Nothobranchius furzeri: one gene and its partners. The protein of the gene in region 3 interacts with the protein of the main gene of each other region in a pairwise test. Links are inferred from orthologs where the notes say so. Each region holds a gene or a part of one and is shown on either strand. Other genes may lie near its edges.

The links.
Region 1: the proteins of nckipsd (region 3) and stac interact in binary tests that used the Homo sapiens proteins (3 or more experiments, as listed by UniProt). The link is inferred for Nothobranchius furzeri from reciprocal best matches to the Homo sapiens genes NCKIPSD and STAC.
Region 2: the proteins of nckipsd (region 3) and psmd9 interact in binary tests that used the Homo sapiens proteins (3 or more experiments, as listed by UniProt). The two-hybrid records come from large-scale screens. The link is inferred for Nothobranchius furzeri from reciprocal best matches to the Homo sapiens genes NCKIPSD and PSMD9.

Annotation. Positions count from the first base shown.
Region 1 is NC_091758.1:29,001,522-29,005,964, reverse strand, and holds the start of stac (SH3 and cysteine-rich domain-containing protein), read right to left. Parts: upstream 2,950-4,443; 5' UTR 2,810-2,949; intron 2,692-2,809; 5' UTR 2,674-2,691; coding exon 2,560-2,673; intron 1,663-2,559; coding exon 1,630-1,662; intron 1-1,629. UniProt on the Homo sapiens protein: Promotes expression of the ion channel CACNA1H at the cell membrane, and thereby contributes to the regulation of channel activity.
Region 2 is NC_091757.1:46,809,106-46,812,732, reverse strand, and holds psmd9 (26S proteasome non-ATPase regulatory subunit 9), read right to left. Parts: upstream 2,283-3,627; 5' UTR 2,241-2,282; coding exon 2,112-2,240; intron 2,023-2,111; coding exon 1,923-2,022; intron 1,494-1,922; coding exon 1,306-1,493; intron 1,204-1,305; coding exon 1,102-1,203; intron 991-1,101; coding exon 902-990; intron 728-901; coding exon 700-727; 3' UTR 622-699; downstream 1-621. Other genes in the region: rab5 GDP/GTP exchange factor, read right to left, coding at 3,621-3,627. UniProt on the Homo sapiens protein: Acts as a chaperone during the assembly of the 26S proteasome, specifically of the base subcomplex of the PA700/19S regulatory complex (RC).
Region 3 is NC_091743.1:68,498,160-68,502,354, forward strand, and holds the start of nckipsd (NCK-interacting protein with SH3 domain), read right to left. Parts: upstream 2,834-4,195; 5' UTR 2,608-2,833; coding exon 2,437-2,607; intron 1,942-2,436; coding exon 1,829-1,941; intron 1,740-1,828; coding exon 1,529-1,739; intron 1,246-1,528; coding exon 1,170-1,245; intron 963-1,169; coding exon 400-962; intron 1-399. Other genes in the region: ndufaf3 (NADH dehydrogenase [ubiquinone] 1 alpha subcomplex assembly factor 3), read left to right, coding at 3,275-3,363. UniProt on the Homo sapiens protein: Has an important role in stress fiber formation induced by active diaphanous protein homolog 1 (DRF1). Induces microspike formation, in vivo. In vitro, stimulates N-WASP-induced ARP2/3 complex activation in the absence of CDC42.

The DNA of each region.
Region 1 (4,443 bases), on a different chromosome or scaffold from region 3:
CATTAAACTGAATAAAAGCAAACAAATTCCATCTGTTAATCATGGACGTAATTTTGGGGGGGGGATAGGGGGGACATGACCCCCCCACTTTTTCCAAAGTCAAGTTTTGACCCCTGTACTTTTTACCATCCAAAAACAATATTACACTATATTAAATTGACACTAGTTGAAGCCTGTAAAGCCTGTAAAGATACCCCCCCCCCCCCGTGTCCCCCCCACTTCTAAAGTGAAAATTACGTCCATGCTGTTAATTACATATCCACATTTCACCCAACCTTTCTGTTTATGGGCTGTGCAGATATAAATTTTTCAACTTCTCGTTTTTACGTTCAACAGTCTACAGAGTAAGATTTCTTTCTGTCATGTAAATAAAGAAAAGTGAGAAAATGTGTGCGTGCAGCTCATGCTCTGCCTATTTCTATGGGGTGCCTTTTGTAACGTCAGTAAGACTTTTATTGCTATATTTAGTTTTTTTAACCTGTTCTAAGAGAAAAAAAATGGGAGTTCAGATTTCAAAGTCATATTTTCACCATGTTGTTTATAAATGTTAAAGTTCCAAACTAAATATGTATGTCCAACCTAAATATCTGTTTTCAAACAAATTATTAAACTACTAACTAAATATTTTTGCTTGGATCTAAATATTAATTTTGGAGATAATATTTAGTTTACAAACAATATGCTTAGCTTCAAATTAGAGATTTACTTTTCAAAATAAATATTCAAGTTTTAGCTAAAAATTTATTTTGGAGCTAAATATTTTGGTTGGAAATTATATATTTATGTCCAACCTAAATATCTGTTTTCAAACTAATTATTCAAACTACTAACTAAATGTTTAGTTTGGATCTACATATATCCATATCTTGTTTACAAACAATATATTTAGCTTCAAATTAGAAATTTTATTTTAAAAATTCACATTCAAGTCCCAGCTAAATATTTATCTTGGAACTAAATATTTAGTTTGCAAAATAAATACTTAGTTTGGAAAATAAATATTTAGTTCCAAAATTAATATTTAGCTTGCTAAGAAATATGGCTGTGTGATAGAATCTCAATCAGGCTGTCGCAGTTGATGTGTCCTTGAGCAAGAACCCATGTTGCCTGCTGGTGATCGGAGACAGCTGTCACAGCATCCAGGGCAGCTGCTGCTTTGTAGTAGCCCATCACCACCAGTGTGTGAATGGGTGAATGACTTGATGTGTTGTGAAACACTTTGGGTGTTGTAGATCACTAGAAGGTACTATACAAACACAAGCCATTTACCATTTTATTCTCCTATCACTGGTTAAATAATACAAAATATTGCTTTTAAATTGTGAATTTTTGACTTTACAAATTGCACCCCATATGTTTTCATGAGACCTGTCATAAAGCAAGGACGGTTAATCAATGCCAGCACTGCTGAAGAAACTCCTGCAACTAATTTTTGCACAAACGTCAAATTAAATCGTTTGAACAAATAACTGCAGATTGAGCGAAAGGAGCTCTCTAAAAGGTGGATGATGATGGAGTCTTAAAGTGAACTTTCCTTAAAAGCAGTGAAAGTTGTTAATGTGCATTAGTGTACATGCAGGCAATGGGCTTAAATCAGTAGCTACAGTTTACATGAAAGTGGAAGCTCACCTTGCGCTTGTGATGCTCAGGTCTCACAGTATTCTTAAAGGAGGAATAAAAACAAAAACACAGCTTTACTTGTTGGTTCTAGAACTACCACCACCAAGGAACGTATTCTACCCTGTTGAAAAAATATATATCTATATATCTATATCTATATATATATATATATATATATATATATATAGATATAGATATATATCTATATATATACATCTATATATATACATCTATATATATATATATATATATATATATATATATATATATATATATATATATATATACACACACACACACACACAGGTGGAACATTTAAAATCAATGTGTGTGTGTGTGTTTTTTTTTACCTGAGCCTTAAAATGAATCTAATTAATTTTTGTAGAAAAAAAAAACAAATTGACTAACAGGGATGGATGGGGAGAAGAAAAGTGAATACACTGATGATCACATTCCAATAATGTCCTGCTAATTGTAGGACCCTGGCCAACATGTGACCCACATAATGCCTCAGACAAGTCTCTACAACATGCACCAGCCACAAGTACACAAAAGGTATTTATTGGAATAGAAATTTTGTGTTTAATTATGTTAGAGAGTTTGTTAAATTCTTGTTGATCCAAATAGAAGAAAAGCAGCTTTATGATATGTTACACGATGAAAAGTTAGTTTATTTATGTTCAAAAGCTTTATTAAGTGTGCAGTGGTGAAGTGATTAATATTATATTTAAAGCTGGACTTGTTTTAAGTACAAGTGTTGTTTTGGTCTGGTAATGACATTTAATCAGCCTCAAGCTGTTGATACTATTTCTAAACTCCAGAGAAGGGATTATAATTTGAGGTTGACGTTTTTCCCAGTTTCTGAGAGTTCCATGCTAAAGTAAACCTGACAGGTGAATGAGAAATATTAATGATAATGATAATAATGCTAGGGCAGACCTTGGTTTCCTGCCGGCTCGCGCTCGTCGTCGGGGATTTGGGAGTCTCATCCTGGTCCCGTTCGTCCTCTTTGTCCTGACTCTCGTCCTGAACTGCGTTAGCTGGCGGGATCATCCCCTCTTTCTGTGATCTCTTTAAAAAAAAACGCACACACACACACACACACACACACCCGCACAGCTGAGTTTGTTTCCTGTCAAAGCAACGTTTCCACTCCTCAGTCACAGTAACCCGGGATAAGAGGAGTCACCTGCGCCAGACAGAATCCGACAGCAAAGAACAACCACAAAAAAGAAAAATGAATAAATAAATAATTAAATATTTTCTAGCGTCTGGAAAAAGGTGGAATTCGATTAAAGAAGAATTAACAGCATCCCAGCTGTCCCGTGTGCGTGAATGGAGGTTTTCAGCTTTCTTGTTGCGTCATGCGTAAACCATCCAAAGACGTCTCCAAAAGCACGCCGCGCGCCTCTCTCTGCCAAACTGCCTCCTCAAGTGGATTTAAGGGAGGAGAGGGCTGGAAGGAGGGGGGAGACGTGACATATTCACTCCGTCTTGTCAAAAATTAGAAACGACGAGCGTTCAGAGAGGACGCCCACAACTGTCAGATTAGTCCACGTGGTCTGTTTCCAGAGCTAACTCACTCATTAAAATATTGTTGGATGAAATGTTCTCATTGGTTCTTCACCCCTGCTGAGAAAGATTTAGGACTAGCGTGCCCAGAAAAGAAAAATCAATATGGTCCAGCTATTTTGAGGAGTTTAATGATGCAATCTGGTGTTTTCAATCATAATGTTAAAAGAAATTTAAAAAAGACAAATAATTGGGAATTTTCTGGTAAAGAAATAAAAGTTTGGGAATTTAGAAACGTAACGTTGTTCACTTTATTTATTTAAATCATGATCTAGGCTTCTAAGATATTTTTCATTTAATTTATTTATTTGTTATAAAATCGTAGACACTACACAGTAAAATTGGGATAAGCAAATAAAATAAAAATTGGGATAAACAAAAGACCATGCTATAAGAAAAGGTCACGTGACACATAATACTGTACATATGATTTAAATATATGAGATATTATTTGGTATTATTATGACTCTCAGAAACTATTTTCGACATTCAAAACTCTGCTCAACCCTTCGTCTCCACCTCCTACCAACAATCTGCTGACACGTTTGCCTCATTCTTCACTGACAAAGTGGCAGCTATAAGCAAACAGTTTACTCAACTGGTCACTCCTGAACATTCACTACCACAAACTCCTTGTAGTCCAACCATCTCAGGCCCTACTGTTTCATTTTCCTCTTTTTCCCCTCTCACTGAGAACTGTGTGTCCAAGCTTCTCATGTGCAGCCGCCCTACTACATGCCCACTTGACCCCATTCCGACTAAGCTGCTCCAAGCTATTGCTCCTACAGTAGCCGCAGCAGTCACACATGTGATCAATGCTTCACTGACATCCGGTACATTTCCCACCACTCTCAAGCATGCTCAGGTTGAACCGCTGCTAAAAAAAAAACATCTCTTCCTCCACATCATGTGGAGAACTACCTACTGTCACGATACGGTGGTGTGGACCCAAAATGCAGTACCCAGGATGACACGGAGGCAGGGATGAAGATTTTAAGAAAAAAGTCTTTATTTTGTGGGTGAGCCAAAAACCAAGGTAATCCAAACTGGGAGTCAAAATCCAAAAAAGCCAAAAATCCAAAAGGTCAAAAAAAAAAAAAACAGATTACTATCTGGGGATCAAGAAACTCTGGTTAAACACAGAGGGACTAAACTGACAGAATCAACAAACATTAATGGACCGACAAGAACACAGAGACAGACAGGGCTTAAATACACTGGGAGGAGCAATCAGGGAAAATGGCAGCAGGT
Region 2 (3,627 bases), on a different chromosome or scaffold from region 3:
TTGGATGTTGTTCTTTGTTATTTCTTTAGAACGAAGCACAATGTGTTGCTTTTTGAGATCTTATAGCCTCCATGCCATCAGCCTGGTATAATTGAGGTGTGGGGAGTCAGTCTCAGCTTTTTTAACAATATAGTTGATTTAACAAGGTGGACAGTTACTGTTTCACACGGGTCCAGGATGGTCAGGATAACTTTTTTCCACTAATCAGTTAAATCATTTTGAAAACTACATTACTTTGTATTTAATCAAGTTATCTGCTGACCTGAAACATTTGTCAAAAATGTAAAACTTGGTATTGGGGGGGGGGGGGGGGGGAATACTTTCTCACATCTCGAGCTGTTTATTAGTCCAACACATAGGATAGATAAATATGGACTTCATGTTAGGTCACTCAGCATCCTCCCAGCTTGGTCTTAGGAGTGTGTCTACATCATGCCTTTATCGGAGCTGAATGCTAGCCATAACAGATGAACTGTTAATTAAAGGTCACATTCTGTGTGTTAATCATCCACAGAAGTAAATAGAAGTGCTGCAACACTTTGTTTATATAATCTATACCACTCTCATTCTTTGGACAGTTCTTAAGAGTTTCCACTCATACTAAAAAAACATGTCAGTGTATAGCCACTCAGATTTTTTTTTATTCAGGATGAAATTCAAAGAATTGAAAGATTTCAATCCAGCAAAGGATGATGTGGATTATCTCTGGACTGGAACGATGTTACACCTGTGAAGGAAAAAAAGACAAGATTTCCATATAAATGATGATGAAACCACTAATTATTGTGCGTACAAAAGAGAATTCTATCATTAAACACAGAAGAAAAATGAAAAGTACCATGAGTGTTTGGGGTTTTTATTGTATTATCTGCCTCATATGCTGTGTCTCTGAAGCACTCACCCCAGCAGGCCCCTGCCTGACCACCGCTGTGGAGTCAGGCTCATCTGAGCTTTTTGGCCAGACCTGATCACAGAGACCCGAAGAGGTTTCTGAAAAAGAAACACATAATAATACGCATCAGGAGAGACGGATAGTCACTGTAAAGGTAAATATGAATTATATCCACCGGAGGAATATCAGTAGAAGTAACAAAAACTTACTCCTTCGCTGTGCTGCACCACAGCAGCAATGTTTTGGAGGTTCTGAAAATTCTCCGTGTTCACAGAACCAAACTCGATGATTTCATCCCCCAGCCTGAGGCCCTTTGAAAGAAAACAATTGCTATCAAAGGAACAGAAACATTTATCAAATTCAAACTGTTAAGAAAATATGCCTTAATAAATATTTAAAAAAACAAACTGTACAGCTCCAGAGGCAGGCGAGCCTTCGGTCACAGAATCCACTCGTGCAAACGGAGGAGGGAGAGTGACCTGCTGCTCCATGGCTTCCTCCTCAACCTCATCTTGACCACGCTTAGCTTTCTCTCGAGCATGTAGCTTGTGCAGGGCTTCCTCTATCTCTGCCATGATGGCTTTGTGGTCATTCTGCAGACCTGAAAACATCAACTATTTACAAACAGAAAATAATATACACATATACAGCTAAGACAAATGTAAGCATTTCATAATTAAATTATACTGAAATCTATTGTTAGTTCATTAATAATTTGAACTGATATGAATACTGGACTAAAAGTAGTGAGTGACTAAAACATAAGCCCTGAGTGCATATCTAGAAAAAAAACTAGAACATATGGCACTGGTCCTGATGATGGACGAGCATCAAAATAAAAAGCACCTTATATTAAAGATCATGTTAATAAATAGTAAACAAAATGAACCGAAGTTGATTATATTTTATTCAAGGTCTGCAGAATGAAAAATGAAGGTTGATAAATACCCGAACAAAAAGGAGACACCACAGCAGCTACAAAAGTCGCTCCCTGAGTTGATAAACACTAAAAAAACATTTAGTTACTTACATGAAATGTTGTGTCTCGCGTTTCTGATCTGGTACAAGTTAACATCATCTCGAGGGTAGCCCTCAGCGTCAACCAGGGGACCTTCAACTCCAACACCTTGCTGTAAACAAGCATCGTAAACAAGGTAAAAACATAATTAGCACACAGAATAAATAGTTACCCACTGATGGCGTCTACAAGCTAACTTACGTCTTCCAAAACGTCATAATAAGCTTTAATCTGTTCTTCTATTTCATCTTTCTTCTTAATGAGGTTTTTAACGTCGTCCATGGTTATAGCAGAGCTTCCACAACTGTTGTTTTCTTCTGTTGTTTTCATAGCTGCTGAGTTGTATCTGCTGAATTCTTCCGGCTACAACACTTCTGGCAATTGTGGTTCCGCTGCAGCGCCGCCGCCTGGCCAAATTGTGGAGAAAATGTACAAGGTAAGAAGAAAGTTGTACTAAACAAGAAATTATTCAAAACATCAATTACTATGTATTACATCGTTTGTATAAACTACACGTTGCTACACATTGCGCTGCGTAACTGTACACACTTTTAATGTTTAATTAAGGGAGGGAAATTGTCGCCCTTCTGGTTCTGTTAAATAATTCAGAAGAGATCATTTTAGCCTCCTTATCAAAATTATGTCCTTTTGGAAATATTTAAGTCATATTAATACAGAAGAAAAATGAGCAGGAGATGAGAAGAGTTGGAAGAGGGAATTACATTTATAAAATTACAATAGTTAGTAGATGCACTTCTGGTAAATTATTTCAAAATAAAACAGTATGGCACTTTAGTGTCAACAGGATAACTTGCTCCAGTCTTATTCTCTTGTCGTTCAGCTAAAAACACAATTAAAACTTAGTGTGTAACACGATGGTCAGACATAATATGAAGGAAAATGTCGCTCTCCAGTGGCTATATGCAGGAATTGTATCCTGGTTCTGAAACTGGAAAACCATCTCTATGAAGCTAACAAAAATAAGCTTTGTTTAATTTCTTCTTGAAAACATTAAGAACAAGGAACTACACTTGGATAATACAACTTACCTATATTTTTTGTTTTATTTTAAAATATACTTTCTTTTGGATTGCTAACACTCTAAAATATTCACCACTTCTTGTTATGAATTTTCCCACTGATCAAATGTTTCACATCAGTTCAAAACATTCTAGGATAAACACAAAATAATCAAACTAAACTTCAAATCACATTTCAGCTTTAATATATTATCAGGTACAATTATTGAACAAAATATATTACATTTTAATTATCTTCATACGTATTTTACTAGTTGTAAACAACTTTCACAAAAGGAAAAAAGGGGAAAGACAACAGCTCTATCATGTATGTGTTTCTCATCAACATGCCACAAACTTGTAGTGGTCAAAACCTGCTTTGTCACATTTGTTTTTACAGCAGTTAAGGTGTAAGCACTGTTAATGAAAAACTGCTAAGAGTTCTGTGATATCACTAAATACTATTTTCCCTGAGTACTTATATTTAATCGACTTTGTCACTAAATTGGAATAATCTCACAGAATTCATCCTAAAATGGGAAAAGTGAAAATTAGTTTAATTAATAAAAACACCTCACGAGACTTTCCAAAAGCTTCCTTCATCCTCATGTTGCTTATAAATATAATCTTCTCTTCAGATGAAACATGTGCAAAAGAACAAATCTTGTTTTTCCTGCAGCCCATGTGTGTGTTAATGA
Region 3 (4,195 bases):
TCACTAGGAGGATCCAGTTGGTTTTATAAACACATAATCTGAGCGCTGACTGAACACACACGTTTACCAGATTTCACCACAAACAGCTGCAACACCATCGTTTCTCATCATCAGATGTTCGTAGTTTTAAACTGAAAGAGGCAGCGGGCGATTGCGTTTGGCCGTGCGGCTGTGGTGCTTACAGGTGTTTGTGGTGGAAGTGTGAAAGAGGTCTTCATTTGCACATGTTGCTAAAAATAAATGATGGGATTTGAAGCTGCAACATTCAGTTCCTCTTTCAGCTCAAGTTTGATGCCTGGCAGATTTAAAACAGAAACTTTTTTTTTTATTAGGTCAGCTGAAGGCCAACAGAGCTGTAACTCTAAACCCTCAGAAGTGCTGAACGAAAGCAAGTCTGACCTTGCTCTCCACCAGAGTCAGGAGAACACGCTCCAAGTCGGAGGAGGATCGGGGTAAAGCCGTCTGCAGGTGGCCCACCACCACTCCAACAGCGACCCGAGACAGCTCGTAACTCAGACCCGTGTTCTTCCGAACCAGCTCAATTAACTCTGCTCCAACGCTCATGGGTACCGGCTCCGATGCGGCGGGGCTCCCAGGTGGGCTCTCTGAAACAGAGGCAGGGGCAGGGGGCCACTCGGTAATCTCTGATGGGTTCTGCTGCGCGATGAGCAGGACGGGAGCGTCGGGTTTGGTGTGTTTGGTGGGCCCGGGGTGCTGCGGGGGTGGCGGTGCTGGGCTTTTCCTCACAGGAGGATTTTCAGACGGAGGCACGTCTGCAGTTGGCATAGAGGGCTTCATGCGGGATGGCACAGGAGGAGGGGGAGTGCTGGAAACACTCGGCAGACTGACATCAGAGGAAGCCAAAGAGCGGGAGGAGCCGGACTCCGTGGAGGTGCTGCTGATGGTCAGGGAGGGAGCAGGAGACGCAGGCAGAGAGGAAACTCTGGAGGGGACCTCCGGCTCTGCAGACAGACAGAGAGAGAGGGAGGGGTGATGGTGTGTGTGTGTGTGGGGGGGGGGGGGGGGGGGGGGGTCAGATTACAAGGAGGTGAAAGTGAATGGGCCAAGAGGGCGGGGTGACCCGACTAAGAATAGAAAGTTTGTGAAATAAAAGAGCTGCAAGATCATCACACTGCAGAGGGTTCGGGGACGAAGGAGTCCAAACTAACCTGGACGCCGTTGGTTTCTCTGTTTCTCAGGAGGAGGGGGGGTGATGGGAGCAGCACGCCGAGGCTGGGGGGGCACCTGCAAAAGGGGAAGAACAGGACATGATTACCAGGAATGAAAAATGTTTAAAATTTCTCTAAAACGTGATAATATGTCAATCCTGTTTTGTGTTACTATTAATAAAACCTGTTTCCTGTCAGCAACTTTTTTTAACCAGTGTGAGAAATTATTTGCATGTAGTTATTTGCTTGATTGAAGATTAAAAAAGAAGAAATGTTTCATTTTTTTAAAGTTCCCAACAGCTATTTAGTTTCTACACACACAAACCCTGCAGACCTTGTGAGCCCATCTTTAATATCACCTGGTAACAGCAGGGCTCTCCCTGCATGCTGTCCATGCTCCCTGATAACGGCACGCCTCCCTGTCTTCCATAGTCCCTGTTGAGGCCGTTGGGCGGAGGGGGGGTCTGGCTGAGGGTGATTTCACTGCTGGAACATGGGATGTTGGGTTTGTGTCCGATGGAGGAGGAACTTCGCCGAGCTAGCGTCTCTTTCCTGTGATGGATCAGCTTTCTGTGTCACAGATTAAAAACATAAACAATAGTACTCATAAATCCTCCATCAGAATCCCCACCATGTTTCTGATGTTGACTTGGACTCACTGCAGGACATCTCGTTGCTCCAGGTTGTATTTGCCTCCGTTCTTTAAGGCCACATTGTGGATCCCTTCTATGGCTCGATCGATGGACTGCAGGACCTCGTCTTGCTGTGGAGCCTGGCACAAACACATCGACAGAAGCTGAAGGGATGAAACATTCATTACTGTGGCAGCATGCAGGATTATTAAGTGTGTGACTGGGTCAAACTGGGACAAGCTGGGAAAAAATGGGACTGTGATCTAACAACACCCTACATTCAGGCTTAATTAAAGCTGCACAGACGGTGTTATCAAGTACAGGAGGGAGCTCTCTTCTTGTGACACAGCCTACAAGCTCTGACTAGTTCCTGCGATATAACCAGGGGTGTGACCACGAGGAGAGGAAAACAATGCTTTCTTGTCTCTGTTATCTGTTGCTGTCCCACCCTGTGTCCTCTCAGCAGCTTTTCGACCTGCAGCCTTTATAATAAATTAATGCATGCGATTTCCACCTGACTAGACAGCTTGCTCTTGGCCTGCCCTGCTGCAGACAGCACCACTCTCAGGGTTCCACTCCACGCCTCGCCTCTATTCACTAAATAGGCAAAAACGGGGGTTAAAAGTGAGTTTTACCTGAATCTTTTCGATGTAAGAAGCAGGGATGTAGCCGGTCTCCCCGGAGCTACAGCGGGACCCCAACCACCAGTGTTTGTTGCTTCTCTCCAGGATTAGAAAGCTCTCTCCGGCCGCGAAGTGCAGTGAGTTGGGCTCCACGGATCGGAAGGCGTACAGAGACCGATACATGATTTAGTTTATCTGTAACAAACCGAAAAGTGACACAGAAATAACCTGTTATGAAACAAAAACCGAATGAAAAGATCTGCTCCGCAGGGGTGATTTAAAGAGCCCATGAAGTCTACGGTGAGCGGCTCATGTCTATTTACAATGTAGCTCGGATCATCTGACCTGAGCGAGCGCTACCAGAACAGGCCACAGGGGGCACTGATACACCCTAAATACGCCTATCAGACAGTTTAATCAAACCCAGAGCTAAAATCTAATTTGATTGTGAAAAATGTGTAATACATTTATTTTCATTTGAAGTGGAAACATTTATGAAGTTACAATTAAATGATGTAAAATGTAAAAACATTTTACTTGACGATTAAAGTAAGGTTACGGTGTTGTACACACGCAGGGATAGAGATAGTTTTTCTTCCATCTTACATTTGCAGAAAGGATTTCAGCATTTTGAATCCTTGTAAATATGTTTCAATGTTACATTATTTGTTTCAGAAAGAGTTGAATTATATATGTATTAAATACACACACACACACACACACACACACACACACACACACACACACTGTTGGCGAGATAAGAAATGTTCGATTGTGCTGTGCATAGCACCGGAAGCAGCTGCCTTAATGGTGTCACAGAGAATTCCGTTCCCCTGTTATACTCGTCAACATGGCCACTGCGGTGTGCAGCAGGATGCTTTTCCAGAGGTCGACTCGAGGATTTCTGTCCTTTTCCAATACAATTCCTGCTTTCTCTTGGTAATTTAATTTTTTCAACAAAAGTATAGAAATCCTATTAGTTAAAAAAGAAAATAAGGTCAATTGCAGAGTTAAAAGTTGGTGTGATATTGAATTGAAAGTGTTATAAAGGTGATGTCTGTTTTGATAATTAGCCTTATTAAAGTTGTATAGCATTATTTTATAGTATTTAATAAAGTGTTTTAGTGTTTTTATTTCACTGAAGGTTTAAATTTCCCGCTTTATTGATGCTTTATGAATGTTCGTCGGTTCAATTTCCTTAGATTTACTTAAGGTTAGCCTCAAAATGGTTACTTATATCTAGGGTAATTTTCAGTTTTAGTTAGTATAATCATTTTCAGTCTAATTGCGCAGTTTAAAGTGTGTTGCTCAATCATTAAATCTTCATATATAATGTGGAAGTATTATTCAAAAGTCTTATGACTATTTTATAGCTCACATGTGTATGTTAATGAGATTTCCTTTACAGGAAGTGTGACTTGTGATACTTTGCAGAAGTGTTGCAGAATAGATGCAAACTGCTCTCCAGACAGCAAGAGTCCAGTAGGTTGCCGTAGTTACAGTTCAGACTTGAGCAGAACTTGTGATGAAGTTCATAATAAATAACAGGAAATGTATGTCTGAAGCAGATGTAAATGAGAAGCAGAAGATAGATGGACACAACATAACTAAAATGTTCCAGTACAAGTTAGGGAAAGTGTCCTTATTTGGTGAAAACTGAACTATTGACCTTTTATTGCTGATCAGAAAAGATGATAAACTGTTAAAGTGTGTAAAGGTGCAGAAGGAACACCCTTCTTTCAGTAGAGAATGACATTTGATGTTTAAATTC